4 linked regions of the Oreochromis niloticus genome follow. The main gene of each other region encodes a partner of the protein of the gene in region 2 in a complex. Links are inferred from orthologs where the notes say so. Each region holds a gene or a part of one and is shown on either strand. Other genes may lie near its edges.

The links.
Region 1: the proteins of arf2b (region 2) and ap3b1a are in contact, whole or in part, in a cryo-EM structure (PDB 9C5B), measured with the Homo sapiens proteins. The link is inferred for Oreochromis niloticus from reciprocal best matches to the Homo sapiens genes ARF1 and AP3B1. Residues at the interface, in NP_001019397.1 of Homo sapiens: Glu17, Arg19, Tyr35, Ile46, Pro47, Thr48, Ile49, Gly50, Phe51, Asn52, Val53, Glu54, Lys73, Ile74, Leu77, His80, Tyr81, Asn84; in NP_003655.3 of Homo sapiens: Glu52, Asn54, Pro81, Val84, Lys85, Val87, Ala88, Asp111, Leu112, Leu114, Leu115, Ile117, Ser118, Thr119, Gln121, Arg122.
Region 3: the proteins of arf2b (region 2) and iqsec2b are in contact, whole or in part, in a crystal structure (PDB 6FAE), measured with the Homo sapiens proteins. The link is inferred for Oreochromis niloticus from reciprocal best matches to the Homo sapiens genes ARF1 and IQSEC2. Residues at the interface, in NP_001019397.1 of Homo sapiens: Arg19, Gly24, Leu25, Asp26, Ala27, Lys30, Thr31, Ile46, Pro47, Thr48, Ile49, Gly50, Phe51, Asn52, Val53, Glu54, Thr55, Thr64, Trp66, Asp67, Val68, Gly69, Gly70, Gln71, Lys73, Ile74, Pro76, Leu77, Trp78, His80; in NP_001104595.1 of Homo sapiens: Arg810, Gln811, Gln841, Arg845, Val846, Gln847, Gly848, Glu849, Ala850, Gln851, Val853, Glu854, Glu858, Asp879, Phe882, Ile883, Phe886, Ala887, Ile889, Leu890, Asn892, Thr893, Asp894, Tyr896, Ser897, Pro898, Ser899, Val900, Arg904, Met906.
Region 4: the proteins of arf2b (region 2) and ap1b1 are in contact, whole or in part, in a cryo-EM structure (PDB 7R4H), measured with the Homo sapiens proteins. The link is inferred for Oreochromis niloticus from reciprocal best matches to the Homo sapiens genes ARF1 and AP1B1. Residues at the interface, in NP_001019397.1 of Homo sapiens: Glu17, Met18, Tyr35, Ile46, Thr48, Ile49, Gly50, Phe51, Asn52, Val53, Glu54, Thr64, Trp66, Lys73, Leu77, Arg79, His80, Tyr81, Gln83, Asn84; in NP_001118.3 of Homo sapiens: Asn23, Asp25, Pro52, Asp53, Val55, Asn56, Met58, Gln59, Met83, Ile85, Met86, Ala87, Val88, Asn89, Thr90, Val92, Lys93, Tyr121.

What each region holds. Positions count from the first base shown.
Region 1 is NC_031972.2:12,628,564-12,635,501, forward strand, and holds the start of ap3b1a (AP-3 complex subunit beta-1), read right to left. Parts: upstream 3,102-6,938; 5' UTR 3,092-3,101; coding exon of another isoform or gene 2,964-3,091; intron 1-2,963. Other genes in the region: secretory carrier-associated membrane protein 1, read left to right, coding at 4,140-4,196. UniProt on the Homo sapiens protein: Subunit of non-clathrin- and clathrin-associated adaptor protein complex 3 (AP-3) that plays a role in protein sorting in the late-Golgi/trans-Golgi network (TGN) and/or endosomes.
Region 2 is NC_031973.2:4,379,932-4,386,892, reverse strand, and holds the start of arf2b (ARF GTPase 2b), read left to right. Parts: upstream 1-3,845; 5' UTR 3,846-3,999; intron 4,000-5,093; 5' UTR 5,094-5,103; coding exon 5,104-5,251; intron 5,252-6,060; coding exon 6,061-6,171; intron 6,172-6,961. UniProt on the Homo sapiens protein: Small GTPase involved in protein trafficking between different compartments. Modulates vesicle budding and uncoating within the Golgi complex. In its GTP-bound form, triggers the recruitment of coatomer proteins to the Golgi membrane.
Region 3 is NC_031984.2:10,742,316-10,750,119, reverse strand, and holds the start of iqsec2b (IQ motif and SEC7 domain-containing protein 1), read right to left. Parts: upstream 3,013-7,804; 5' UTR 1,682-3,012; coding exon 1,221-1,681; intron 1-1,220. UniProt on the Homo sapiens protein: Is a guanine nucleotide exchange factor for the ARF GTP-binding proteins.
Region 4 is NC_031977.2:18,689,418-18,697,174, reverse strand, and holds the start of ap1b1 (AP-1 complex subunit beta-1), read right to left. Parts: upstream 3,101-7,757; 5' UTR 3,000-3,100; coding exon 2,973-2,999; intron 2,406-2,972; exon of another isoform or gene 2,383-2,405; intron 1,195-2,382; coding exon 1,134-1,194; intron 1-1,133. Other genes in the region: gas2l1 (GAS2-like protein 1), read right to left, coding at 7,025-7,757. UniProt on the Homo sapiens protein: Subunit of clathrin-associated adaptor protein complex 1 that plays a role in protein sorting in the late-Golgi/trans-Golgi network (TGN) and/or endosomes.

The sequences.
Region 1 (6,938 bases), on a different chromosome or scaffold from region 2:
TTTAACATGCACAACCAGCCTCAAATACAAAATTCAATCTTCCAGCACTTCCCATGCTTAGGGAAGTGAAAATAGTATAATTCCATTTAAATCCATCATTCCTTTTATTTTTTGTGACTGCTTTCAACACAGAGAAATACAATAAGTCTATACAACCAAACTGCTCGGCCACAGTGAGACATCTCTTAGGTCACAGATAATAAATTAGTCATATGTTTCTATGATTTGTTGAACCCTAGCACAGAGCTCTCAAACAGAAACAAGCGCCCTTTAAACACTAGAACATATTAGAGCAAAGTTACATCTCTCATCACGTGCAACACACATTGAGTAATTTCAACTAAACTTCCAAATTGGATCTAATTTTAAAAGAACTGACTCTATCCTCAGCTATTAAAACATTAATGACCAAATATGCAATGTATTCTCCAAGCATGGACATGGTGAAGTTGACAAGCCTTGCGTGCAGCACTAATATGAGACATAGATCTATGCACTAGCACAAAATGCCTTTTGGATTCACAGACTTGGTCATTGTGAATTGTGTCCGACAGACATACAAACAGAAGGATCATTCAAGCCCTTGCATATTCTTCTGGTCCCTCAGCTTGGCCCTGAGGTGGCCAAACACATGACCAAACCTCCCCCAACTGGGTAGATGATCATGTGAGACAGTGTTAAGGTTTATTTCAACTTAATAAGAAACATTTCAGAAAACCAAGATCTACATCAGTCATGAAAAGCAAATAGATACATGAGGACGGTTCCTGCAGGAAAAGCTTAAAATCAAATCAGCAGCTGAACTGTGACCCAACACTTTTATGAATGCATGGAACTTACTAACAGACTGAGGCCTGACATATGCTTTAGTAGGAAATTTACTAAAGCGTACTAGATGCAGTGTAGGGTTAAGAGGGGTTTCCGGTTACATCTCAAGGACGTAGGCTTAATGCGTAAGTCTAAATCAAGTTTGAGTTCCTCAGATTTTAAGTACTGCAGTGAAGTCTAGACCAGAGAATCTGGTACCCTGTGTATGTACCTTCAAACACAGACTGTTACACTAGAACAACTGAGATGCATAGTCACAGAATTTGCAAGAAATTCCCAAAGTCAAAAGATGATTAAACTGGTTATTGGCTGCCCTCTAGTGGTAGAATGCAGACATGGAACTTAAAATACATGAGCAACACAACAAACAACCCACTTTCAGTTTTATTACAAGCTTATGAAGGCAACTTATTAGCATTTCTCCATTTGCTGGTCTTACAAAGAAATGTACTGACTGTCAAATTCTGGGTCAGTATGTATTTCCTTTTTTTGGTGGTATATTATGTTTTGCTAGTTATTGCGCTTTTTTCTGCCAAGAAAACAAAGAAATTCTCATGATAAAAAATACATTTTTAAACTTTTCATTTTGTCATCATTCCATATTTGATAATTTACTCTCAGCACAGGAATAAATGTTTGCAAATGGGGCAGTTATGTGGGCTACATCATAGGCTCTACATAGATTTACAGCATTAGTATAAACTATGCATTATGCAGCACAAAACTGATCCAACAGTTAAAGATCAACGATATAAGTAAAAGGCCATCTTATTTGTTGACGAGTCAACAGGCCCAGTATAGACTGATAACTGACATTTGGAAAACAATGGTTTTTAAAAAAGCAGTTAATACAGCAGTAAACTGAACTGTAGATCAAACATGGAAAGATTCTCATATGCTACAGTTTTATAAAGGTTGAGACAGAAAGAGGTAAAAAAAAAAAAAAAAAAAAAGTACAGACAAGAAATGCAGCAAACTTATCTTTCCAAGGCTTCCTTTACTTGCTTAGAGCTGAATAACAGCAGCTTTAATGAGCATTAAAAAAATGAAGTTTTCTACATTTTCTTTAAGCCTTTTGACCACTGTGTAATAGGGTCAGCACAATCCACCTGCAGCAACAGGACTACACGTGTGTCCCAGCGCTCGCTCATTTATAACCAGCACACACAGCAGATGTCATCCTAAAGTGCTTTAAACTCTAAAGTGGTAAAAAACCTTTGAAAGATTTGGAAGAGAACTCCAACGATCAGGTGTTCCACTATAACCACCCACTTGGCGACAGTGGGGAGGAGGGCGTCCCTTTTAACAGGGAAGTGTGTAGCATCCGCTTAAAAACGTGCAAGCACTTTATGCTGTTTCACAATAAATGACGGTATCTGAAGATTCTGTGATGAAGCCACTGCAGTTGATCTTTTATCAAGCTCTCCCTGTGCAGTGATTGCAATGACTAGAGCCTTACTGAACTAACCCAAACAATCACAAAGCCACACGCATTGAGCGGACAGAGATGAATACACAAAAGGGCCACCAAAATTCATAATCACAGTAAAATACAAAGTAATCAGGTGGAGATGGTAAAAAAAAAAATGATCGCAAAAATGACAAAACATGTGACAAAAATTGTACACTACAATATGAAAAACAACCACGAGATGGAAAAAATAACAGCAAAAAACAGGCAAGACAAGTACACCTTGAGCACACAGAGAGATGCAAAGCAACTGGACAAACCAACCAGAAAGTGGAAAGCTCAGTGACCACAAACCCAAAACACGTCCAAGCCACGTCTTCCCATTTTATCGCTCAACTTTGCTTACTGCAGAAGAGACAGGGGGCTGCTTCTATGTCTGCACCCAGGAACCATTTCCCCTCCCTGGGGAAAGTGCCTGTATTAAAATACACTACTACGGATCTGATTAAGTCCTGAAAAGTTATAACTCTGATACTGGGTACTACCATCAGCTATAAACCGCTAACCGTCATTTGCCACCATTGCCCTGCCTGTGGATGCTACTGGCCTCTTTTCAAGACTACGACACTGGAAATTAGCCATATGGAGTTCAACAAAAACAACCCAACTGTGCCATAAACCAACCACCGTGACGACAAAAGGAACACATGCTGGGCTAGCTTACTTTTTAAAGTCGGCGCTGAAAAGTCCGAAGGCAGCTCCGGTGCTCGAGGAGGTCGGGGTGCTCTCTTGACCCGCTTCCACCGCAGCCTCCGCTCCTCCTTGGTCGTTGTATGAGGCTCCCGTCGACATGCTAAGCTTTAAGACAAACGGCCGACACAGAAAACTTACTCGCCTTTTCTTACGAGCTATGAAATGTTCATAAAGTTGGTGATAATGTTAACTTAAGGTTGACGCTAAAGTTCCTGCAAAAGCGAACTTCTTTAATGTATCACCCAACTTTTTACACGCAGTAGCGGAAGTGTGAGTTGGACAAGTGAGCGTCACATGACAGGGATTCAGAGGCAGAGAGGTCATAGATCTATCGCAACTAGAAGAGACCCTCAAATTGAGTCTTTTCTCCGTTTCAAAGTTATTAAAAATGTAGTTCTCGCGTTTGTCACTTGTAGACTGGACTATACTATTGCAAATTCTTAACAATAAATTATTACAAAACCCATATGCTGCGGAAGCCGATAATTGTAAGTTAAAAAGACGGCCAAAAAAATAGATGTAGCCACAATGTTGAATAGCCAAAGCATCACGATAAAGTCCACAAGGTCAAAACAGCAACATTTTTGCCAAGACCAGGATATTTTCAGGAAAAGTGAGTTTACCTGAAGTTTGTGCTATTGTGTAATAAAATATGACAACTTTACGACAAAAAGCCTAAATGAGTGCGGGTATAAAAAAAAATAAATCAAACATTTTCCAAGTAGTAATATTATTTTTAAAAATAACTTTGGGATATTTTTAATTCTTTCGTTTTACTTAGATAAGTCGATGTACGACCTGACATTTAATCGGAGATAAAATGTCACAATTCTATGACAAAATGTAAAAATTAGTGCGAGTAAAGCGTTAAATTCTTTCTAAATAAAACATTATATTAAAAAACTAACTTTTTGGATTTTTTTTTCTTTTGACGTTTCCCTACTTCCGCCTTACGTCTCGTTATGTCACGTGTGTTCCGCTGCTGGTGACCAATCCTCCACCTGGACAGTCAACATTTGACTTCACCCCTTGTCTTTTCTATTACAATTTGTTCGAAACAGTTGGTCTTTTTTAACTGTGCGCCGACTTTGGTTATAAATATTAGCCTTAAGACACATTTAGCGGAATAAGTCGTCCTCTTTGGACAATGTCAGATTTCGACAGCAACCCTTTCGCGGACCCGGACTTCAGCAACCCGTTTCAGGTAACCTTAACAGGCTACGTTAGCCACTTTAACTTTAGCTGCTGTATCATTTTACATTAAGACTGGGTGGCTTTGCGTGGCTAGGAAAGACTGGCATAGGGTTGGTTTGAATAAACCTGCTCTGATAATGCGACTTTAAATTAGCTGTTGGCAAAACCCTCCCGTCCTCCGGTTGCTCGGTTTCAGTTGAACTGTCACTTAATGTTGCCGCACTCTGACTGGCAGAAGTGACATAACATTAAAAGATATGAGGCTAGGCTTCCAGGTGTTGGCGCTTATTCAAACTGAAGCAGGTTGGGTCGCTGGGTTCTGTTATAATTATCCCCCGACCCCTTTAAATTCCCACCTGTTTGACACATTTCCTCACATTTACGCCCTGGTTAAACAACTTATGCTCAGATGTTGCGTATGTTTTCTTTTATGTTTGACATTACGTTAGAGTGATTGACTTAATTTGCCAACCTGGAGACGATAATGTAAAAAACTGATCACCTGATCATGTAATGCTATGTAGGAACGTAAAAACAGAGAATAAAAAGAGAGACAAACATCCTTTCCCTTGCTTTTATTGTGCTGTCGGCTTTATTTAGGCGTCTGACTGAAGACGTCTTGTGTTTACGCTCACACAGTGTTGTGTCATAATGAGAGCATTCATGTGATCATGTGCTCCTTGGTATTTCAAGGCCTGTCCTCCTCCGCTCATATCAGGTGTACTCAACAAAACAATCAAGTTGTGCTCTTTTCTGAAATTTCTAACATTAATGGACCAAAAACATAAGACTATTTAATAATTAAAATAATCACGAGGTGCTTCCCTCAGTCTCATTATGACCACATTGATTGTTTTAACATTGATTGTTTGATTGGAGCATACCACGAATAAGCTAAAGGAGTGTTTGTTTGTTTATTTAACATCAACCAGCCAAACTGGGTTTATTTCTTGAGCAGTTGATTGAGAATCTAAACATTTAATGCTGCTTTTAGTATTTTCTATGAAATGCTTAAAAGAGAAAAAAAAATGGACTGTCATTTGGATCTCCAAAAGTTGATTCTGTTCTCCTGACGTCATTTAGAGTTTCTTGAAACCAGGAGTAACATCTTCAGTGTCCTTGTTATGTCCATCAAAAGCTTAAAATCATTTTTTTTTTTGTCATACACAACAAATAACATGAGCAAATCTTCATATTTGGAAACTAGAAGCCCTCAAATATCATTGCTCATTCAAAGAACATTATAAATTATGCTCGTTAAATGAGGATAATTTACAAAATGCACATTATGGTGTATTCTGTTTGATGTTAAACTAGTGATTGAACCCACGTATTTGTGGTAATCCTGTAAGTTATTTACAGTAAGCTTAATTTAAGATCAGTCTAAGAGTCAATATTGTGCACATCCACACACACACACACAACTGTGTTATGTTGCTGGTAAGAAGCAGGAAGTAAAATAGCAGTAATTGATAGATGACAACACCTTGTTGTGTTACAACAAACATAACAACAAAAAGAGAAGCCAAAGCCACAGTCGTCTAAGCTTTTTATACGGGTCGTCTCACTTGGTGTAGTTTGCTGTTAACTTCCTCTCAGTAGCCACCAGTACACTGCTGCTGATATTTAGCAGTATAAAACAGAGCAGTATACAGCTGAACTAAATAGATCAGCCTTTTGTCATAAATAACAGATCTAATTTTCTGAGTCAGAATCAGACTAATCCAGAATTAGACCTGTAGTTCTTTAACCTCAGACAGTATACTTGTTAATAGTGATATATCCGTGACTGCTCGGTTCTACACAGTACAAGGAAAGCGTGTGTGTTTTCGTTTTCGTTTTTTTTTTCTCAGAGAATACCACATTTAAAAAAAAGAAAATCTATTTTAGTTGGTTTAATTCATTGCACAGACTTAAAAGAACCCAGTGTTGATGGGAAGATGGTACAGGCTGACCACACAGACGCAAAGAGAGTGAATAATTAATTGGGTTCATTAACATACTAACACAAGTGCTGAAGCCCTGCTGTCCTCCCACTTCTCTGTCATGCATTGGCTCTGGCTGCCTTGCCTCAGGATAATGAGAGCTTTTTCCCTTCTCTGAGCTATGATCAATAGTTCATGAAATCATATGGTGACATGTGGTTCCAGGGTACTCGTTGGCTCCTTTCCTACTAAGCTTCATCACTCGCAGTCATGCGTCAGATTGTTGAGGCTGTTTTGGCCTATTTCTCTGGATGTAGGCTCAGACATTAGGCTCTATGTTAGCGAATAAAAAACTTTGTAAGGCAGCTAAGAGCTCACTTCGTAAGGTTTGTAGCTTAATCAAATGTGAAATGAGTAGAAACCATAGAGAGTTGAAGTCTTAGATATATCGTCGTCAGGTGGTTGAACAGTGCACCTTTTTTGCTTCCTGCACTTAAATCAAAATCATGGTGAACACATGTTTGCTGATTCTTCTTGTGGTTTTTTTTGTGGGGGGGGGGGGGGGGGGGGGGGGGGTTGGGTTTTTTTTTTTTTGGTTTTTTAAAGGTTCTGGGGCAGGAACTCCAGAGCTGGAGGTTTCAAAATGAATACTTTGGTGAATCTGCAGTATGTGTTTGTCCAGCCACGCACTAGTGCAGTGTTAAATTTTAAACACGACAGGCCCTGAAATATTTATGCTCCTGGTCTGGTGACAAGGTGTGTGTGTGCTTTTTGTGTGTGTGTGGCGCAGTAGAAATTTTGTAGAAATTTAAGAGTCAGAGAGACGA
Region 2 (6,961 bases):
TTTCTCATTTTTTTCTTTTAGTGTGATATTTTTACGTATTTTTGTAGATGTAACACAAAATATCCAATCCTTCAAATAATGGTAAAGGATCCCTTCAAAATCTCCCAGATCCAGACCTGAAATGATAACCACTTTGAAGTCCCACAGCTGGCAAAGATACACAAACAAACCGAATCAATTGCAAAAATAATCTCTAATTTGTACTTAATAACTAGTTACATGTCCGTTACCTTACCAAACCCCGGTACTTAGCTTATACTGCTGTGTTAAACCAGTGTCATAACCTGCGCCCAGCCTGAGCTGCTCCTTACCAGAAATCCAACAACACATTGTAGGAATCCAGACCTCAGCCCCCGTGTTAGGTCTGTAGTGTGAAACATAATATATTGATGAGCACAGGAGTAATATTTCTGCAAAATAAAATGTAAGAAGGGGCACGGTGGTTAGCACTGTTGCCGCACAGCAAGAAGGTCCTGAGTTCAATTCCACCATCAGGCCGGGGTCTTTCTGTGTGGAGTTTGCATGTTCTCCCCGTGTTTGCGTGGGTTCTCTCCGGGTACTCCGGCTTCCTCCCACCGTCCAAAGACATGCAGCTTGTGGGGATAGGTTAATTGGATAATCCAAATTGCCACTAGGTGTAAATGTGCGAGTGAATGTGAGTGCGAATGGTTGTCTGTCCCTGTATGTTAGCCCTGCGACAGACTGGCGACCTGTCCAGGGCGTACCCCGCCTCTCGCCCTATGACAGCTGGGATAGGCTCCAGCGCCCCCCGTGACCCTGAAAAGGATAAGCGGAAGCGAATGGATGGATGGAAAATGTAAGAAGGATTTATTGTACCTAGCTTGCTCAATATGCAAATACAACAGCTAATATGTGGAGATATGTTGATTTCCTCGTTTTAATAACTCTGTCAGTTTTGTCACGCTCACCTCTTTCCTTCATTTCAGCAAAGTGTTGTTCACATCTGAACGTTGAGCTCTGACAGGATCATCTCTGTTTTCACTGGTGTTAGCAGAACAAAGCAGAGGAACGAGAATAAAAGCAAACATTATGGTCAACCATTCAGCACGGCACTGTAAATGAAGCTTCAGAGTTTCTGCTGCACTGGTGCCACGTGATTGGCTAACTGAATAACTACTAGCACAAGCAGGTGTTCCTAATAAAGTGCTACTTGAGTGTACAAATAAAAGAAATCTTAAAATGTCTATTTTCAGGTTAAACTGTTTCTATATGTTTTAAGTAATGATACAAGTAGTTTACACTCCAAGGGGGTAAACCTGCTTGAATAGGAAATGGTGTTGGTAGAGCTGTAATAGGTTGTGACATCTGTATTTTTTTATTTTGTGTGTTAAGATTGTTTCCCTCTTTCCGTTCTCCTGCTTGTTCTTTCCTTTTATGGATCACTAGGAACAAAAAAATCCGTTCTTTGTATCTCTGTTTACTTTCTGATGTGGAAGAAAGAGTTTGTCATGTCATCTGTTTCATTTTAGAGTTTAAATGGCATGAAGCTGCCTAAAATGATGTGTTTTCCACAATATATCACAAGACTGGAATCTCTTGGTACTTGAATGTAACTGATATTTTATATTCTAATAAAAAAATGACTCAGAGGCACAAAAGTTGCTGTCTTCTGCTCATTTCCAGCTATTGCCTTTCCCAGTCGTTTCTGACTCGGTGTCATTTGAGAAAGACCAGGATTAGACCTGTTGCACACTGTAAACATTGACAGCACTGATAAAGAGGCCCAGCCCTATAAAAACAGATGATGTTAAACACGTGAGGCTGTTACATGTGTTGCATGTGACCAGGAAGGTGTATGAAAACGTTTGCTTCAGCCTGATCCTGTTCATACATTAATTGTAATATAGGTATTGATCTTACACAAATTGTTTTTGTACAGTGTAAACTGTATTTGATAAATATCAGATATAAACATTTTTCCATCTGGGCATGAAATATACAATTTTGCATTATTTGTATTTGAAATAGTTCAGCTAGGTTCCCACTGAAGAGAGATTCATGTTATTAAATGAAAAGTAACTACATGTGACACTCTTTATGACTATAGCAACTAGCTGGCTAACCTTAGCTTCCTTCTCATTGACATCAATAGCAAAAGTGCTATCAAAAGCCAGACCAGTGCTTGCTTTTTGTCCTTGTGTGGTGTTAACTGGTTTTTGACATTACTAATTAACAGACTCCATTTTCTACCCAAAGGTTAGCTGATGATCTCGCTGTTAATGCTGTGAACAGAAGAGTGGTATTCAAACAAGGTTCCCATGAACGAGCACAGCCATCTTTAAACTTTTTTGCAGAAAATTCAAACTGACTCACTGATGTAAAGGTCACTACAAAGTCCCAATTTTTTTAGTTATATTACAAACCCTTTAAACTACAAATAAAAGAGGCTTGATAATTTATTATTAGACTTTTTTTTTAATCTATTGCTGCTGTAAGGCCCACCAAGTGTAAAAAGATATATGCACCTTCCAGAAAGTGTAGTTGACATGGAAGCGCCTTAAATATGCATTCTTTCTAACGACCAGCAGGGGGCGACTCCTTTAATGCAAACACACTTCCAGAAGTTTTTCCTTCCTTGATCTGTGCCCTCAGTAAACTCTTAGCTGGTTGTGCTAAGCTTGTGAGCACAATCTGCTAATTTTAAGTCATACTAAAAAACAACATGAAGTTTCCTCTTTGGCTCATGACTTGTTAATCATAAGATGGCAATTGTTGGCCTGTGGTGTCCACTTTTTTCAAAATACCAAGATGGCAACAGCAAAAACAAAACACTCATCTTGAGTCACCAGCGCTTCACTACCCAATGGGTGATTACGATGACTACATCCATCTTTTGTATACAGTCTACAATAAGGCCTCACATTTCCAGCTTGGTGCTTGAGGAATGTGAAGCTTCTGGATCCTCTGATAGCAAACACAGCCAATAATAATTGCAGACATCAGGTGCTGTTAGCTGCTGACAAGTGTGATTAATTACCATTCTAAAAGTCATAAACCATAAATGATTAAAGACAGTGGTTGTGAGACCCGCAGACAATGAATTTAGTCATGAGAACCTGCAGCCTTGCACTAATCATATAATAGATAGCATTTCTGTGTCAGCAATTTGAATTAACACAATTAAAATAAGTGAGGATCTAAAAAGAAATTTCAGCATATCTCTTCAAGTGAGTCCACAGGGAGGATTTCACTGGTACAAGTCTTCAAAGAAATGCAATTAATCAGATTATGAGGAACGAGATGGAAAGTAAGGCCTAAAAGTTGGGATCAGCCAGGATCTTGAGTCCCGGCATGGAAAAAGGGGCCTCTAAACACAAATAAATGGTAGAACCCTCCACCTCCCTCATACAATTGGAGAGAGTCCTGGAGAGGCCTTCGGTGACCCCAGTGATCACTAGGTTTTACTCAGAAAATGTGCTTAAAAGTAATTAAAAAAATTAAACATCAATAGAGAAGAAAAACGATCAAAAAGTAAATCGAAATGACCGTAGGCAAACATAAAATACAGGAAAAACAATAAACTAGAAACAGATTTTTCTAATGTTGCATTTCCGTGTTTTGTTTTTTGACTCCCTATAGTCCTTGTGTTTATGTGTGGATTTCTTTATTTAATTATCATTATTTGTCTCTTTTGTGGCCGATTTCTGTTTCCCTGTAGTCATTTCTCGTCGGTTAAAAAAAAGGAAAAGAAAAAGAAAAACTCTGAGGGCCCGGTTCTCAGTGTCTGAAACTTGAATAAACTTGTGTACGGCTCACTTCCTCGACATTTTGTGCACTGTGCGCACAAGGCTCTGCCGACACGCTGATTGGACCGCGGAGACATCTGGGCGGGTTATCCGTTACACCATGCGTGCTACGATTGGACGCGGTGTGATAGTGGGAAGTTGCCGTACGCCGGTGTCTCCCTGGTTGCGCAAGACGCCATTTTGGGGTGACAGTGAGAGATAACGGAAAGATCGAGAAGCTGTCGTTTTAAAGGTAATAACCCACATAAACTCGCTTGTTTTTTTTGCTGTAACGCCATTTATTGTACGGCGATTGTCGCACGGTACCAGCGATTCGATTTAGTTTCGCCTGAGCATGACGTCACGAGGTTCTTTCTCAACTGTGACGCGGCATTTAGCTAACGGCTGTTAGCTTAGCGAGCTATCGTGTATCAGATCTTTTAATGTTCACGCCTAAGAAACCAGGCCTCAGTTTTGCAGGTGGATTTCGTAGCAGGTCATCGTTAGATTTATTAATAATATATACTGTAACCGACAGTGGTCAGTAGACCGTAGACGAACGGTGTCGCCTGCTCGTCGCAAGTTAGCATATGCTAGGAAAACTAGCTATCTGGCTGAAGCATCCGCCCTTAGTGAAGCGAACTGTATCCTGTTTCGAGTGCTGGTAACCAGGTAAAGAGAGAAAACTTCAGACTTTACACAGAAAATCTGCGCGTTCACATAGCACAACGTTTCAGCCTTTATTGACACATACTGATATGAACTTTACATTAACTTAGGTTGACCTTATGGTTGAAAGCTAGCGTCTTGTGACGGCTCACTCGTACAGAAACATTATCCTAACCGGCTATTGCAGAGTTTTCTAGCTGGAACAGGCCTCTCTTATCTTTTCATCAGTTAGCTATTCGCTTTATCCACGGTTGTACAGCTTAGCCTCAGGATATGCGATTTTTCTGCTGTTAAATAATTGACACATAGGAAGTTTTAACACTTCTGTAGTGTAGAAGTTAATGGCTGATGTTGGTCGGCCAGAGTTAGCTCTTAACTTAGAGTCGTAGACGAAAGCCTCAGTCATTCGCTTGTGTAAACATTTAACTTGTTCTCCTCCGTGTGTCTCACAATGTACCTCGTTTTTTCGACTAAATATACAGCTGTCATCGAACTGCTCTAATGTGGTGTACCTCTATGAACTGACTAACGATAAAACGATGGTAAATCAGTCCAGATGTCAGCTGTTTTCTCTGATACATTTTCCCTGTATTCACTGCCTCTCACCATACTGCACTGAAACAGATTAACAGCAGACCGTACACTGCCTTAACCCTGTCTCCGTCTCTGCTTTGACAGCTTCATCACCATGGGGAATGTATTTGCGAGCTTATTCAAAGGCCTGTTTGGCAAAAAAGAAATGAGGATTCTAATGGTGGGGCTGGATGCGGCTGGAAAAACAACTATCCTATATAAACTCAAACTCGGAGAGATAGTCACCACCATTCCCACCATTGGTATGGACATTTACATCTATCACTCCACTGTCATTATTGTAAAGAAGCTGTATTTTTAGACTGCTTTGAGAAGATGTTATTAGTTATTTCCCATTGTTATTAGAGAGGACAAAAAAAAATCCTGTTCACCAGATCTTCAGGTCTTTTAAACATCTGACTGTTAATTTGTTTTAATTACAAGGGATACACTGTTACGAAATTTAGGGTCATGACTAATATATCTACTTTTTGGATTTTCTTTTCTTTTTTTTATTGCTATTTACTTCTTACTTTGTTTCAGGGCAAGTAATTAAATCATAATTAAAATTAATGGATCTATTTTAAAGTCTGTTTAAAAAAAAAAACTTAACCAGAAGTGATGTGGTAAATATTGGCCACAAAAGCAGGTGAATGCCATTACCAGTCCACTGGGTGACCAATCATTTTGTAGCTTTAAGCAGTTAAGGTAATTTTTTTTGTGTGTGTGTGTGTGTGTCCAAGTTTAATGCGTTTTGATCTACAGCAACCAGATGTTTCCTTATTTCAGATTTTCTGGACCATTTCATTTTAACAATGGTTTAACAAAGAATAAGTGATAAAATGAGAGTAACTGAAGACCGTTTCTTGATTAAAATGCAGTCATGAAATGTTGACTTTAAAAATAAAGTCATATTAGGAACAAACAGTGGAAAAAAAAATAAAAAAAATAATAAATCGTAGAAATCTTTACCTGCGTGTAGTGTTTGCTGTCGAGTGGTCCAAAGCCTTTTAGTGACTCATCTGTTTCCTCTCCTTTTTTTTTTCTTTTTTTTTCCCTTTCCTTTTCGCAGGTTTTAATGTTGAAACTGTAGAATACAAGAACATCAGCTTCACAGTTTGGGATGTGGGCGGTCAGGACAAAATCAGGCCGCTGTGGCGCCACTACTTCCAGAACACTCAAGGTGAGGTGAAAGGGGGTGTGCAGTGGCATTATCTTAGCTGGCAGTTGTGTCAGTGAGCATTACTGCCCGTAGGTGGCCTCGTTGGTGCATAGAGGATATTAAAGAGACCAATGACTCACATGCCATTGTTCCATTCTCAAAGGGCGTATTGTGTGACTCCTCTACTGTTTCCTGATGTGTAACTCATCAGAATGTATAGGCCTATGCTGTCTTGTGTTTGCCACTCATGATCCGGCTTGTAAGCAAACTAAGTTGAACATTTTGTGGTGTCTTTAATCTTCAGAAATTAATTGTGATTGAAGCCACCTTATTTGCTGCACTGCCACCAGTGCTCCTGTGGTTTCCCTGCATGCATTAGATGAACGTCACCTTCCACATACTGAGCACCCAAGTGTGAAATTGAATGTGTGAATCATTTCAGTGATGATCTAAGACGCAGCATCATTAAACAAACAGCATGTCTGACTACAGAATTTTCTTCTGCAGCAAACAAGGAAAGTTGTGTTTGGGCTAGAGAGCCGAGTATTGGTTAATGATTTCATGATTAAGGTGACAGAAAATTGTTCTTTCCGTTATTTTTCCAGGCAAAAAAGATTAAGGTTCTATGCAAAATTAGACCTGCGGACCATCTCAATCTAGTCTGATGTCCTTAATGGTCTAGCCTCTCCCCAAGAAACGTTTTAAAAAAAAAAAAAAAAAAAAAAAAAAAGACACGACACTTCAGTTTTTTATGATGACCTGTTACATCTTCACTCTAATGGTAAAGTTGTGAATAATTTAAAGTTCTTAG
Region 3 (7,804 bases), on a different chromosome or scaffold from region 2:
AGACTGAGTCACAGCCAGACAAGCACAATATGGCTCTGCTGTGCGGGTGACTATTTATTAAATGTGGCACTTCATATGATACGCTTGTCTGAGCCTGGATCCAAAGTCAGCTACAATGGCTACAGGCAATTAACAAGGGAGAATCAGCAAGATCTACATTTGCAATTCATCACTGCATTTAACACCCACATAAATAACTAATATGTGCTTCTGTCTAATGACTAAGTCGCCCCTAGGGATGAGGAGAAGGGACCAGAGACAACTCTAATCGATAAGGGATTTAGTCAAATCTGAGTCAATCATTGATAAGAGGATTGGGACCATAACAACTCAGACAGTGAGCGAAATCCAGTGATAACTGCTAGGATGATTGCGTGTTGAGAAATACATATGCACAAGAGCAAACGGCTTCTGTTACCAAGACTGCAACAATTTATTTCACAGTGAGCTTTTTCACATGAATTGCTGCCTACTCACAAAGCTTAATGCTTCCAGAACAAAAGCCGACTCTATCTGCATGTGTGTGCGTGCGTGTGTGTGCGTGGTTAAGTAAAAGCAAGGACAGATGCACTTGCTGTTTGCCAAAGCTGTGTTTTGCAGCACTCTAACTTCAGGTCAGCCTTGAGTTTGGGGGGAAAAAAACTCTCTTCGAGACCAAGCAGCCGACAGTTCAGAGCGAGGAAGAAAAGAAAAACACACTTTTAGCAAACAGTGGGTGGATTTTCATCCAGAAATGCTTCTCTTGTCTAGAAAGTTCAGATCTTTATGAAAAAAATAAGACTCTCCTGCCTGGACCCAAGTTTTCCTCAGCATACTACTATGCAACTCCTACAGGATTCACATTTAAGACGGAGATCAGTGCACGAATCATCCTCTCTGCAGGCAGAATCATACACAGCATGATGAAATACACACCTTGAGCACTTATCGCTCCACTCATAATCCTCCAGCACTCAGCATATTTCCTCATGGTGGTGTATTAACACATCCCATCTTAGGTTCAGTCCCATTACTGCGAGGATTATCTCTGATGGCTAAAAAAGCTGATGCTTCGTACAGCCTGTCATCATGTCGGCCTATGAATGTTCTGCCACTCTTAGCTATCACGCAGACTGTGGTCATTACTATAATTTAGAGCCACTTGGACAAGATTATTGACATTCATTACAGGCGGAAGATAAAGCCAGCAGAAGAGGCCCGTGTATTCGAGGAGAACTTACTTTCGGCGCAAGGTGGAACTGGTGTTGGTGTCTGTGCTGTCAGTGCGTTCAAGTCGGTCTGTGGTGGAGGAGCCGCAGGAGAGACCTCGCGTCAGCCTGGTGTGGGTCCTCCTCTCCCTGCCGGGCGCTGGAGTTGTAGCTGATCCGGATATCACCTGAGTTGTTGAGGTGCTACCATTCCCGCTGCCACCGCTGCCACCAGCACCGCTGCCATGATGGATGGGCAGGGACAGGGGCTGGTTGTGGTTGTAGTTTTGCTCGGGTGTGTCCGTTCCAGGGGTACGCGGGCTGCGTTCCTGCCTCAGGTCCTGGTTCTCTTGGCTGACCCGGTCTAGCTGGCCCTCCAGTTCCTCGATGCGCCTGCGCTGCGTCTCCAGGAGCTTGGCCTGGCTCTCGATGATGTTGTTGAGCTCCAGGAGGTACTCCACTGCCCGGTTTGGGCTCTCTGGGCTGGTATCCATGGTGGGAGCCCTTCCTCTCAGGGTACAACCACCACCAGCCACAGGTTATACCCCGTGGGGCCGAGATCCACCCTCCCCACCAGCCCTGATGAGTTGGGGGGAGGGAGGGACCAAGAAAGGCTGTGGTGAAGATTAACTATAGGCTTCAGATGTTCAGAAACAGGAAGTCACAGATATTAAGATATTGAGAATGTCATAGCGACTACATATCCCCAAACATGAGGGCAAAATTTACCATTATAACATCTTAGTAGCCATTGAAAACGTCACAAAGCCAAGAAGAGAATTTGAAGCTAAAAAAAAAGTTCATGGCACTGTTGAGTGTCTGAGTTCGTGAAGTCCCAGTCATTTTGAAATCGACACGTAGCAGGTAAAGAGTTTGGGGCGTCATGGTTAATGTTAATTTACTAAATAAAATGTTTAAAAACAGACTTCCAGGCGGAGGGAGTGACACACATAAGTCTGGTCTAATTTAAGCTTTTCAGAGTTTGATAATGAACTTGCTTCGATGATTGACAGAGAAAAAGAATAAGTAGAATATGAATTTATCCACTGACCTGTGACATACACTGCTCATTAACTTTAAAAGCTCTGGCATCAGCTTTTGGTTAATTAAAAAAAACACACTTTATGTTTTCATCGATATACAGGGGGAAAGGGGGTGGGGGAGAGGGGGGATACGCTAGTTTTGATCTACCACTAATTATTAGGCGCTGTCAATCATTACATAACACAGAAAATTCTGCTCCTTCCCACGTTGAATATCCCCGCAGTCTGTCATCGTCGCTTTCAACCCATGATTTGATGTGTCTTTAAAGCACAGAGAGTGAGCAGAGGTGGTTTACGAAGTTCATTCTTGAAGTCCGAATCCTCCCCTTTGGTCCGCCAAAACTACATCCCGTTATTAAAAAAACACAACAAAACAAAACAAAAAATCAAACTAGATCCCAAAGTATCTGTCTCGTCTTTTCATCCAAGAAAAATGCACTTTACCTCCTCGTCATGCACTCATAAATACTGATCTTCAAGATAAAACTTGTCACCTCTTAAAGGCTAAAACCTAACCGCAAGATTCTGCTGTCCTAAAGTCTTAATGGCTGTTTTTAATCTTAAAACTGTACTTTTGTTTTTGCCGCTTGCGGAAAAAAATCTGAAATTGGTCGAAAAGATAAGGGAGCGTCCTTTCCTACTTATCTGACTCTCAGTGGCAGCAGGTCGGTAATCCATGCAGGAGTAGCGCTGAGTCTCCTTTGAGGTGGCGCAGAAACAGAGAGGATTTCGCTCCTTGCGCGTCTGAACCGCAGCGTTGCGTGCGCCTTTTCCTCTGGAGCGCATCACAGACAAGCAGGCGAAAATAAGGAAGTAACTTCCGGGCAAGGTTTTCAAAATAAAGGACTAACTGTCGAGAATAAAGTACTGACTTAGGGTGAAAATCAGTTGATTTGTGGGCAAAAACAAACATGAATTATTAAAAAAGGCGCAAATTAATAAATTAAGATGTCCTGAGTGTATAAGCTACACAGCGCTGATTTTCATACAAGATCACAACAAACAAATGAAACAGTCGATGCAATGGCTAAATATTTCCACAACTTCCACAACTAATAAGCACTGATTAAAAATATATTAAAGGTTGAGCTACCAAACTGTGTAAACTAAAAATCTATCTATTGCTTAAAAAAATGTAAAATAAAAATTTACGCATCACACAGTCAGTTAAACTTGATGGATTTCAAACTGTCCACTTATGAAACATATTATGGATCCATTTCACCTGCCGTAATGGAAATGAAAGTGCCAGAGGTGCACTGCAGAGGCCAAACCCCCCAAAAAGGAAAAGATTTTGCTGATGGTGGTCACAGCACATTCCTCTCTCTTCGTCTCTCCTGACGGATTTGACTCTAGTTTAGGGTTTTGCCAGTGTCGGATGGTAGCATAAGATGGTACCTGCAGATCGTTTAGGGCAGGGGTCTGCAACCTTTTACACCCAAAGAGCCATTTGGACCCGGTTTCCACGCAAAAGAAAACACTGGGAGCCGCAAATACTTTTTGACATCTAAAATGAAGATAACATTGTATATATTGTTTTTTATCTTTATGCTTTGTGTGAACAACTAAGGTGTGCTGCTTATGAAATCCATGAAGTGCTACAGAGAAAATTAAATTATATTTATGTAATCAACACATTTTGAACTCTTAAAGAAATATAACAAAAGGAAAGACACCCAGCTGAACTAAAATGATCCATGTAGCAAACAAAAACTGTTGTCAGCCGCCAACCTTATATCGCCTTTGGGCTGTTGGAGCCTTGACCTGACTCTTAAAAAAATAATTGGAAAAAAGCTCTATGCTGCTGAAAAATGAAAAATAGATATTTGCAAAATTCTGCCTAAATATGTATTTTACCTGGTTAATGCGTGCGGTGGGGCGTGGTTTGCAGCGCCGCTGCAGGGGAGGCGGACGCACCTGCGACACCCGCAATCACGCCTCGCTGCCTTTACGTCTGCGCTGTCTGTGCTGTTGTGTTGTTGGTGGTGATGTCGGGCTGTGAGCTGAAAAGCTACAGCCGGCTGTATGCGTACAGCAACCGTGTGTGAAAAGTGCTCAATAAAGAGATGCTCAAAAGCATGCTCATGGAAACATCGTCGGGTCTGCCGTGATTTGTTTACAATGGGACTTCTGCTCCTGAACCTCTGCGCACAGAGTCCGCAAATCGGGGCTATACGAAGTCAGTTTACGCAGGACTGTAAGCGGTCATCTGTCAGGCGTGAGCGGTGTTTGTCTTTAACATAGTTCACGGTGGAGAACAGCTGCTGACATAATGTGGATCCGAAGATCCATAATTGGCCTACCTGGGGTTGAAAGTCTCGATAAATGCACGGCGTTTAGGCGGGTATACCGGCTTCCGCCAGCGTGACGCTCATATTGAGCGATGAATAAATAATAGAATATAATTTTATTTTTATATTTCAATGTCACAATAATCTTCCAATTTAGAACTACGAGTTAAAAAGAACTAACATAAATAAAATACACTTCAGCTAAATACTTCTAATTTATTTGCCCAAACCACGCGGAGCCGCACTATAAGGACTAAAGAGCCGCATGCGGCTCCGGAGCCGCAGGTTGCCGACCCCTGGTTTAGGGTTTTGCCAGTGTCGGATGGTAGCATAAGATGGTACCTGCAGATCATTCAGGTTTCAAAGCTCCTGCAGCAAAGTATGTAAAAATCCCCTATATGTAAATGGAGTCAACAAAATATCCACAAAAAAACGTTAAAACTGTTTATTGTATCTTGTAAGAAAACAAAGACAATATTTTAGGTATAAATGAGACAAAACGAAGTTCCACAAAATAAATACAAAATAAATATAGAAATAAATAAATACAGGGAAAAAAAATAATACAAGCTTTCCTAAGAGTTAGGAGGGCAACTGGGGGGGGAGGGGGCAAGGCTCTACAGCCCTTGTTTGCTGTCTCTTTCACAGTCTCAAGACTGTGGAAGAGATAACCAGGAATTTTCTGATTCTATAAGGAGAGCTGGACAGGGCCGTAGAAGGACTTCAACGCAGCAGAAGGACCAGTATCTGCTCCTTTGTTTGAGGAACATGAGGGGGAGCACTGCCTGCGGCCTATAAAATGACCTCCAGTGGACTATTCGCGTTTGTTTCAGATCAAACTGTCAAAAGCAATTTTTACGAGGGTGACATGAGAATCTGATATCCTTCACCCAGCCCAGCACCATGTTATACTGTAATGATTGAGCGTTGCTTTCAAATTTCTAAGCAGTATTATGCACATGCCTTCAAAAAGGTTTTCTTTCTTTGCAGTAGATAGAGAAAGAAATTTTCTTTGGGTCGGTTAATTGTCTTCTGCAGGAATCTGAATGACTAGTCCAGCTGGTAAATAATACGTCTGTCATTCTTGGTCATTATTTCAGTCTTTTGAGACAAACGCGCGCAACTTAAGAGCTAATTAATTATCTCTAAACCAGGATATCTCAGCATACTAACGACCCATTTCATCCAAAAGCGACACCTTTATTCATACCTCTACAGTGTGCAGCACAAAGAAAATGGCATTCATTTTTCCCCTCAAATCGCACAGGTCCTATTACATTTGTCAGATAGTGAATTTAGGAATGCAGTTTTCAACAAAGAAGCGCAAAGAAGACATTTTATATTGAAAATACTGCGAGAATCTCATTTTCCGTCTTTGTAGCTTTACGCATTCCAGGAACCCTGTTGAGCGCCTGAATCCGTGGTGTCCAGGTACGAAAACAGTATTGTGTTGCAGTATTGCACTGCAACACAATGCACGTAAAACATGCCTCTGTCGTGTCAAATATCTCCCTGTTATAACATTTGAAATGCTATATTTGAAGTCGTGATTTAATCCACTTCTATAAGACAATCTCCTGCAGCTGAAGTCAAAGCAGCGCTGTTATTACTGCCGTTTTTTTCTTTTCTTTTTTTCCATTTTGCATCTGAGCTGATTTGAACAGAAGGATGCGGCTTAGGACAACACGAGAGAAAGACAGGCCTCAGAGCGCTGTTATTTTTAGTGTCAGTGCTTAAGTGCTCATATCTAAGCTAAGACTCTGTAAATTCACCCGCGTCTCTCCCTGCACAGCAGCTTGGACAGGTGAGGTTGCCTCACTGTACAGTTAATACTCCACTGAGGAGTGAGGCTGTATGCAAAATGCATGCTCTCGCAAAAAGCTGGATAAATGATTGATCTGCGGGAAATGCTGAGATTTCAGCCTCTTCGTGGATCTCATTCACCACTAGTTAAAGAGTTTACATCTGATTTATTAACAGACATCTCACCCACATATTGCATCTGAATATCAGACTGCATTTCCCCCTTCTCTCTCTTTCACACACACCTTCATCTTGTGAAATCCCACTTCACATAAAAATACTGTTGTCTATGTTTTTGCTGCCATCTGCTGTCCATTATGTGGACCGAGGAAAGGAAAACCATCATGACTACAGAGGAAATTGGTTCAGCAGTTTATTTGCAGTTTTATTAGTGTGTTTACAGTTCAGCCATACTTAGGAAATGAAAGAAAAAAAAAGAATATTGCCAAACATTCATTTATTTATTTTTATATATATATATATATATATATATATATGTATAAATATAAATAAAAAGTCTTATATATAGGCTACCTAGCAACACTGTATGGCCGTTGGAGGGAGAATACAGTATGTCCGTTTGGCTGCTGTAATGCCTTTCTGCAAACAAACAGACAGGGAACACCACGCTTTTTATTTCTCTGCTTTGTTCCTCTGGGTACAAATGGAGGAATGACGTCACTTATGGCATCAACCTTTAAATGATTATGGAGTGCTAACAAATAACAGCTGTAACAGTCTGTGTCTCCAAATGCCACCGTAGAGAACCAACGTAATATTGCTTTAACATTTAAATAACATTAATCCATTGTGTGTGTTTACCAAAATGGCGTGAAGTGACTGTAGCTTTTCCTCCTAATGGCTTATCAAGAAAACCTGAGTATATCAAAAAAGATAATTTCATAGAAAAATAACATCTCACAGTATCCATTCAACTTGGCTTCTGTTTTTTTTCCCCTCAACAGAATATAAAAAAAAAAGAGAGAGAGCAAAAGAAAACGATGTGCTAATTTGTCACCTCAGATGCAACACCGAGCTCAGATTCTGCAGATGATTTTTTTTTTTAAATATATTTTTGTGGGGCCTTTTTTGGCATGACTTAAATGACTAAACAGCCCACACACTTCTGGTATGAGAGACCTCAGAGCAAAGGTTTTCACAGTCAGAAAAATCAGTGGTTAGGATAAAGTGGTTTATGTTACCAAGGCAACTGTACGTGGCACGATGGGCACAGCACTCTTTAGAATCTAGATAGTGGTTTTGTACTGACCCCACATACACAATATTTAACAGTACTTGAAATATGCACGCACCTGATGCATATTTTGGCATCTTTTGCTGACTTCTGAAGTAGGGTACGACACAGAGCATTCTAATCCACACTCAAGCAGCATAATACAAAACATTCATTTATAAATAGGACGGCTACAATATAGGTCTTAGTCTGTTTACATTTTGAGCCTTCACAAAACCTAGTTCT
Region 4 (7,757 bases), on a different chromosome or scaffold from region 2:
TCTTTTTCATCCTGCACATCTGTGCTGCATTGAGCTTATTTCAGACATGTGCAGAGATGAGGAAACGCAGGACTTTGTGTAAACACAAAGCCAGTAAAGAACACAGTGTTATTAAAGCAGAGTGTATACAGTGTGTGTCAAATATAACCACAAAAGGAGTGTGTTTGCCCATTTGTGTTGAATTGTACACAGAATATTTTTATTTTTTTAATTTGAGAATCTTTGAGAATCACGTTTAATTTAGTTTTTATTGCAGTCTAACTCAGCTGCCTAATTAGGGTACAAACTACACACTGCAAGCAAACTGCAAATTATAAGCTTAAATTTGAATCTGCAGACTTAAGTATTTCCCAGGCAAATTAATACTCAAAGTCTCTTTTGCATGTGAGCTCCACACTGCACAACACAGCATTAGGCAGATCCACAGGGGGGAACATTTTGAAGGAAACTTGTTCTTATGTCTCAGGTAATCCTTAAAAACCAAGGAGTCTGGTACACTATCATTTACAAGCATCTGTTTATATTTCTTAAGCCCTGTGTGTGAGAACAAAGAGGGCTTCTAGGCTTTCCCAGGGCAACATTGTGTGAGGGGAGCTGCTGAAATACAAGGAGGCCTAGCAGTTATCTCACTGAGAGCTAATTCTCACTACGTCTTATCTGATATACAAAAGCCAAAGCTCTTGTTCTTGGGAACAACTTTGATACAAAGCTGTCAGATGACATCTTTAGGTACATTTTTTTTGTTTTGTTTGTTTTTTCCTTACTTACATCTAACTTATAGTTCGGTAACATTGCTAGTTCTACCAGAATATGCATGCTCTTGAAACAAGTAAATGTGCTTGGCTTCATAGAGTTGAAGTTAGTAAATACATGCCAAATCATTTTACTGGGAATCTACAAAACTTTAGTTTTATCAGAGAGAAAAAAAAAAACATCTATTAATTACTTTAACAACCTGGGAAAAGGTTAGGTCCCCTTTGGTAAAAATAATAATTTGGCACAGCCCAGCTCACAATGACAATAAATCCCAAAGCACTCGCATAAATATAATGTGTAGGTACCAACAACAATAATTATAATCTCACACTAAGGAGTTTACCATGTTAAATCTTCTAAAGAACAAAGTTTCAAACCTTTCTTAGTAGTGGTGAAGTACTTGGAGTCCGTCATCTTGGATCCAAATTGTCGATTCTCCTGCAAACGAATGACAGGATGAGAAAGATGATAGCGAAATCTTTTCCTGACTGGAAACTTGGAGCATCACGAGAACAACAGGAAATACTAGAAATGCAAGCACAGGGAAATAAAAGGAATTCCTGTCTTCTCCTGAACAAATGGTAGGGATCTATCGGAAATCAAAACAATGGATTCTGTTAAGAAATCAGACACTAATATCTCCTCTTTAAAAAAAAATTATAATAATAATCTTGGTCAGCACGTATGGGGCCAACAATAACTCTTGTCAGCCAACATTCAATGTTTTCTTTTGGGTATCATTAGCTATACTTCCTCATCCCGTTGCCCTCAAGGCACCATTTCATTTTATTTTTATTTTTTTTAAGTTTAAGGTACAAAGATGCCTGCTTGACAGATTTCAGAGAAAACTGTAAAATATTAAAATACTATTGGAAAAATAAAACCTGTGTTTTTACATGAAATTTTGACATTTTTGGCTCATGGACAGCTGGTCGTTTTTAGGAGGTCTCCACAACAGATCATCTGCCTCCATCTCACCCAATCCCTAGTATCCTCCTGTCACACACTCCATCCATAAACCTTGTCTATAGTCTCCGTCTGTTCATCCTGCCTGGAAGCTTCATATTCAACATCCTTTTCCCAATGCATCCACATCACCTCAGCCTTCTAACTTTTGACTCCAAGCTGCTCGACCTGAGCTGTCCCTCTGATGTACTCTTTACTAATCTTATCCATCCTGGTCAATCTAAATGAAAAGCCACGTTTAATTCTGCCACCTTTAGCTTGGCCTCCTGCCTGTTTGTCAGTCCCACCATACACTCTTCCTGTAGTACTTCTGTCACTAATCAGCCCTGACATCTCAACTACACCCATTCCACCCTGCCTGCACCATCCTCTTCACCTTTCTTAAGCACTGGCCAATGTTTAGGTTGGCGTCAGGTATTTAAACTCAACCACCTACACCTAGTAGCTTCACTGGACAGCAGTGTATATGTTTAACATATATATGGCTTGTTCATACCAACATTATGTGGAATTTGTCTCTTTAAAGTCTTTCTGATATAGAAAAAAGTTAGTATTTCCTTGACTATGCACTGAATATCTATTATTACTGTGTTACAAATATGTAAAAATACTTCTGCAGTGAATAAACAAACCCATAAAGATTTCATTAATCGAACTTACATTCAGTTCAGTCAAATGGTAGAACACAGAAAGACAGAGAGAAATTTCCTTCACAATATTCCGCAAAATAACCCTTTAGTCTCTTTAAAATACGTCTACATTTATGAATGAATTCTGTTAGACTGACATGCTAACTTGTTATTAATGGTACTGAAATACACATTAACTAGAGCACCGGGTTTCAGGTACCAGTCGACATCCGACAAGTCGCTAACTAGCCACAAGTTAACCAAAACCGAACCCAACTGTCGACGTAGTTAGCAATACGTTAGCCGATTACGATCCGTTTGTACGATAAAGCACACTGCTACCGAGCTAAATTCACACCGAAACTCTCGTGTACTCTTACGTAGCTTCTGATCTTACAACATAAGTATTTAACAAAAGCTGTCGTTAACTTATACCGCTAGCTAAAACACAAAGTTGAGAAAATGTTCTCTAGCTGGCTAGCATTAGGCTAGAGCAGCATTAGCATAGCTGGCTCGAGTGTGTACGAAAGGAGGCACACTTAGTTGAGTAGTTAACCCAAAATGAGCTAAATTGCAGCCGATAGTTGCGCATTTAACAGTGCATTTCAATCCACTACTCACGCATAACTGATTTGCCCACTCCTGCATGTTTGCAGCAGTTAGAGTAGATGAATGAAGCTAATGCTAAAGGATAGCAGCCTGGTGCAGTGTGCCTGTCAGTGTCAGCTAGCGCCTGACCACTTCTCTGGCTAGCAAAGCTGAGACATGACCTTCTAAGTAGGGACTTAAGGAAGCCTTTGCCGGGATAGTTAAGCTCTTAATCTGTCGGTGTAATTAAGACCTTACTCAACGAATTAGCGTACCTTCTGGCGTTAAAATTAAACTCGCCATACAGTGAATTCAGCAAGCACAAATATCTTACCGTGACAAGCGTAGCAGTTACTGTGATGGCCTTCGTCCCCTCCTACTTGATTTACTTCCGTCTTTTAACAAAATAACAACAGGCAGGCAACGTCAGCTCTCATTCATACAGGGCTGGTCATAATGAGACAAAGAAATTCAGGAACTCTGTCAACGCTGTGCGCTTTTCTTTTCAGCTCCAATCCGGCTACTTAAATCTACATACAGAGTAGGTAACTAAATATTCACTTTCACTAAATAAATAATTCAGACAGTTATCGTAAGAGCAAAGGATGTGTAAATAAAGTGAGACCCAGTTTTGAGTTTATTAGGAAGCTGATAAAACACTACCTAAATACAATAAATAAAATCTATGGCCTAAACCCTTCAACTGATAATATTATGCCAGTGTTTTGTGTATCCGTTTATACTGTATTGAAATAGCAAGTGTTTATGTGCATAAATGAGGCGTTAAATGAGGATTACCAAATACTAATTTCTACAAAAAGATAGCACTTTGGTCCACTGTTGCATGACAGCAAAAAGGTCCTGCTGTCCAGTCATCTCTGAATGGTCTGCATTCTCTCCCTGGGTACTATAGTCTAAAGACTTGTCAAGTTAACTGGTGATTTTAAATTCTTGGTGTGAATGGTTATCTGTGCCTCTTGCCCTATGACAGCTGGGATGGGCTCTAGCTCCTAGGGCTCTAATTTCCAGACTGACTAAACACTGGAAGGTTTGCTATAACAAAAGTTTAATACAAAAACGTCACAAGTTTACAATATTTTTGAATCTATAATTATATAAGACTATGTAGGGATTAGCTGAATTATTTTATCCAAATAAATAGTAATAAAAATTGAACCTTCCAAGCACATTGTGAGGAGAAACAACTGCAGCATTTTAACTCCATTTTGAACTTCACAAAGCAAAATCTGCAGGACGCATTGCCATATTTAGTCGTGTCTTACTTATGCAACAAATTATTTATTATGTACAAAAATATAGTGAGTAACACTGTGCATGAAGAATAACAGAAGCACTTCTTTGCTTTTCTCTAACATGCGCTGTAGCACAGAAAATCCAGTCACTGCTGTGCCAAAAGCTACACATGAAAAAATGACCAGAGCATCATCGTAAGCTTCAGAGCAAAAGATTTATTACAAGAACAACTTGACAGCATTTTCAAATTCAGAAAAAAAAAGTGAAACATTGCAGTATTGCTATTTCATACACAAAAATTCCACAATGTCAAGCAATCTGTACATTTAACCAAAGTTTTAGTGAAAATGGCATCTGATCACAAACATTCGGATTTCGCTGATTGGGGATACGGAGGAATGAGCGTTTCATAAAATCCCGTGTAGGCAGAAAGAGCGGATTAGGACAATCAATCGTTTTAAGATTGTAGAAGTCATGGCTCAGTTAGCCTGTACATTTAAAACACCAAATACGTGTTCGAACAAGCCAAAACAAATGTAAAATGAAAAGAATTAAGAGTACATGTTATAATGTGTTTATACACGCTAAACTGCCCACTGGCTACATATTGCAATCAATGTCGCTTTAACAATACTGATACATCATGAATCATTTGTAGCAGTGAGGAGTCAGCGCATGATAAAATTACTGTATCTTTAAGAGATGGGACACATAAATAAGTTCACTTTGCCTTCAAATCACTCTCATTTTTAACTGACAACATTTCCACTGATTCTGTCTGTCGTCTCGAACTTGGGAAACAGATGTCACTTGAGCCCATGAAAGATGATTTCATAAATAAATAAATTAGACCAGCACTACTTCCCTCTTTACTTCAAATCTGTACATATTCCCATACAGTATGTACACAAAGATATACACACTCTCCTTTCCCAGGCCATGCTCTGTTGGTGTCCAGCAAAAACAATTTTATCAACATTTTCTTTTCCTTGCCTCCACATTGTGTGGGAAACAATCATTAAATATTAATATCAGTTTTTCCTTCGCTCAAATCCAGAAGCTCTTGAGATTCTATGGTTTCTGGAGCCCACTAAACAGTATACCGCTTTCCAACTTTACACCCTTCAACACATGCTAAATACCAAAAAGCTAGTAATGTAGGCTCTGTAGCTGGAGTCTGGCTTGTCATATTGATGACAATTGTGTGAGAGCTTCACAAAGTAGGCTCAGTATCCAGTTACAGCATCCATTATTCATGCACCCCTGCACACATGCAGACACTCGAGTTAAAGCCAGTCAGTCTTCATCTATCAAACCTTACCATGTCATACCAGACCATTATTGGCTCTAATCAGCACCAGGACATTTCAGTATCATATCAAAACAACATTTTCTACCACTGAATAAAACATTTCTCTCTTTTTTTGCCACTAGATGTCACCATAAATTGCGCCACATTATTGAAATCCATCTGTTAAATAGGCGATAAACAACCGAGGGAATTCAGAGGAAATACATCATATATATGGTTTTCATTATTTGCACATCCACCTCGGGTATAACTTATAAATGAAACTGGCTGGTAATGCTTTTTTTTTTCTCCTTCACATTCACACCCAAACTTTCTAATTATTATAAACAGTTAAAGATGGCAATGTAGTGTTACCTAACAGATTTTAGTGATGTTTAGCTAAAAACATTTAAAAAAAAAATGTAACCTGTGAAAAATTGTTTAAGGCAAAGGGAATTTTCAAGGCATTTTCAACACCAGTATTGCATAGCTAAGAACTGAATACAGTGAATATGTACATTAGACTGTATATTCCAAGCCTTGTCTTTACAAAATACCCACTCTCAGCATGTATTTACACATTCATTCTCCTTAGCATTTAATTCCAGAGTACAGTTTGGTCAGAGGAGGAACTCAATATTTAAAATGTCAGCGACAACTATATAAAGTAATATAACCTTCCCCCATGCTCCTCATATTTTTGTTGTACACTCAATGCATTTAAATTAAACTTTTTAAAATTTTACTGCATTAAACAAAATCTTAAAAACCGGTAAGACATTAAGCATTCAAACAAAAAGCATCTATCTTGTCTAGAACAGCTTATTATTATGAAAAGCTGACACTGTTAAATAATAACATGAAACAACTGTACAGAAACTGGTAGTGTGCATAATGTTCATAGAGCCAGAGATGGGTGTACCTTAGTCTATGTTACTGATTACTGTAATGTGAGTATAGTGAGTCATATATGAATACCACTAATGTGGACAGACTGAAAACATCACAGTCATCATGCCAGTATTTTCACTATAAGGCAAGCAGAAGTGCTATGGCAAACCACAAGAGGGAGCCAGTCTGCATGACTCAAGGACTAGTGTTTACATCGTTTCTAGACTTGCAGCTTTAAAGCCCTGGCACTTTACCATGCCCCCTTAGTGAGGCACATGGCAGCACATATGCTCTCTCTTTCTATTTCTGTGTATCAACTGTGAGAATTTCACTAGTGACTTATAAAAAAAATAAAAGATTGGCAAAAGCATCCCCATGCACACATTAAAATTAAAAATTACAGTAACATAAAGACCATTCCTTTGGTAATAAATAATTTGGCTTGAGTGCAAAAAAAGCAATGTGAAGCCCTGCAGTTATTCAGGGGAGAACCTAAATGGAGAAAAAAAGGAGCGTTTGACATGCAGTAAAAACTGTCTGTAGCCCGTTTTTATCTTGTTGGGTTTTTTGTTTTCTCTTTTTTAAACACAGTAGTTAAAGTTCATGACAACAACCCCCTCCCGTGTACTACCCACAGTTTCGTTTTGTGCTACATCCAAGCTTCAGTGTCCACGCTGCCTGACTGTGTAGGGTAGGCGCAGTCTTTGTTGCCCATGGCTGAGGAACGAGGATGAGGATGGATCATATCAGCGAAGGCCTGGTGCAGGCCCTTGCATGTGGCTTGGCGACTGGTAGGATGGGAGCTCTGAGGAGACAGCGGTGGGGTGTGGCAGGGGGACAGAGTGTTGTTCGCCTGCAGGTCTCTGTAGCTGACGGGGGTGGGTATGCGCGAGGGGCCGTTTTCGGGCCTGTTGTCAGTGCGAGGCCTGAACCGGCCCCCCAGTTTGTGCTTAGGGATTGGGTCAAGCCTGTTTGCTCTCTTTGGCCCTTTCTTAGTCTCCAGCATTTCTCCATCAGCGTCCCCGTTAGTCAAGGGCAAATTTGGTGGAGGGGACTCTGAGCGGGATTCGCTCAAGCTGAAGCACATGGAAGAGTTTTCACTTGAGGAATCCTGGAAGGAGCAGTCCTCAGAGAGGGGAAGGGGCAGAGATGATGGACAATCCTCAGGGCCTGGGAGGTCAACACTCCCGTCACCATTTTCCATGTCATAAGGTAAGTCGGGCTGGTGATTTTCCAGTGGAACATCTCCTTCAGGCTGTGTGGTCCAACCAAGAGGATCCTGTTGATCTATCATCCCCCCTTCAGGAGGAGAACATCCATGTTCTCCATTCATATTCCCACATTGAAAAGCAGGTTGCGGGGAAATGTCATTCATCAAACTA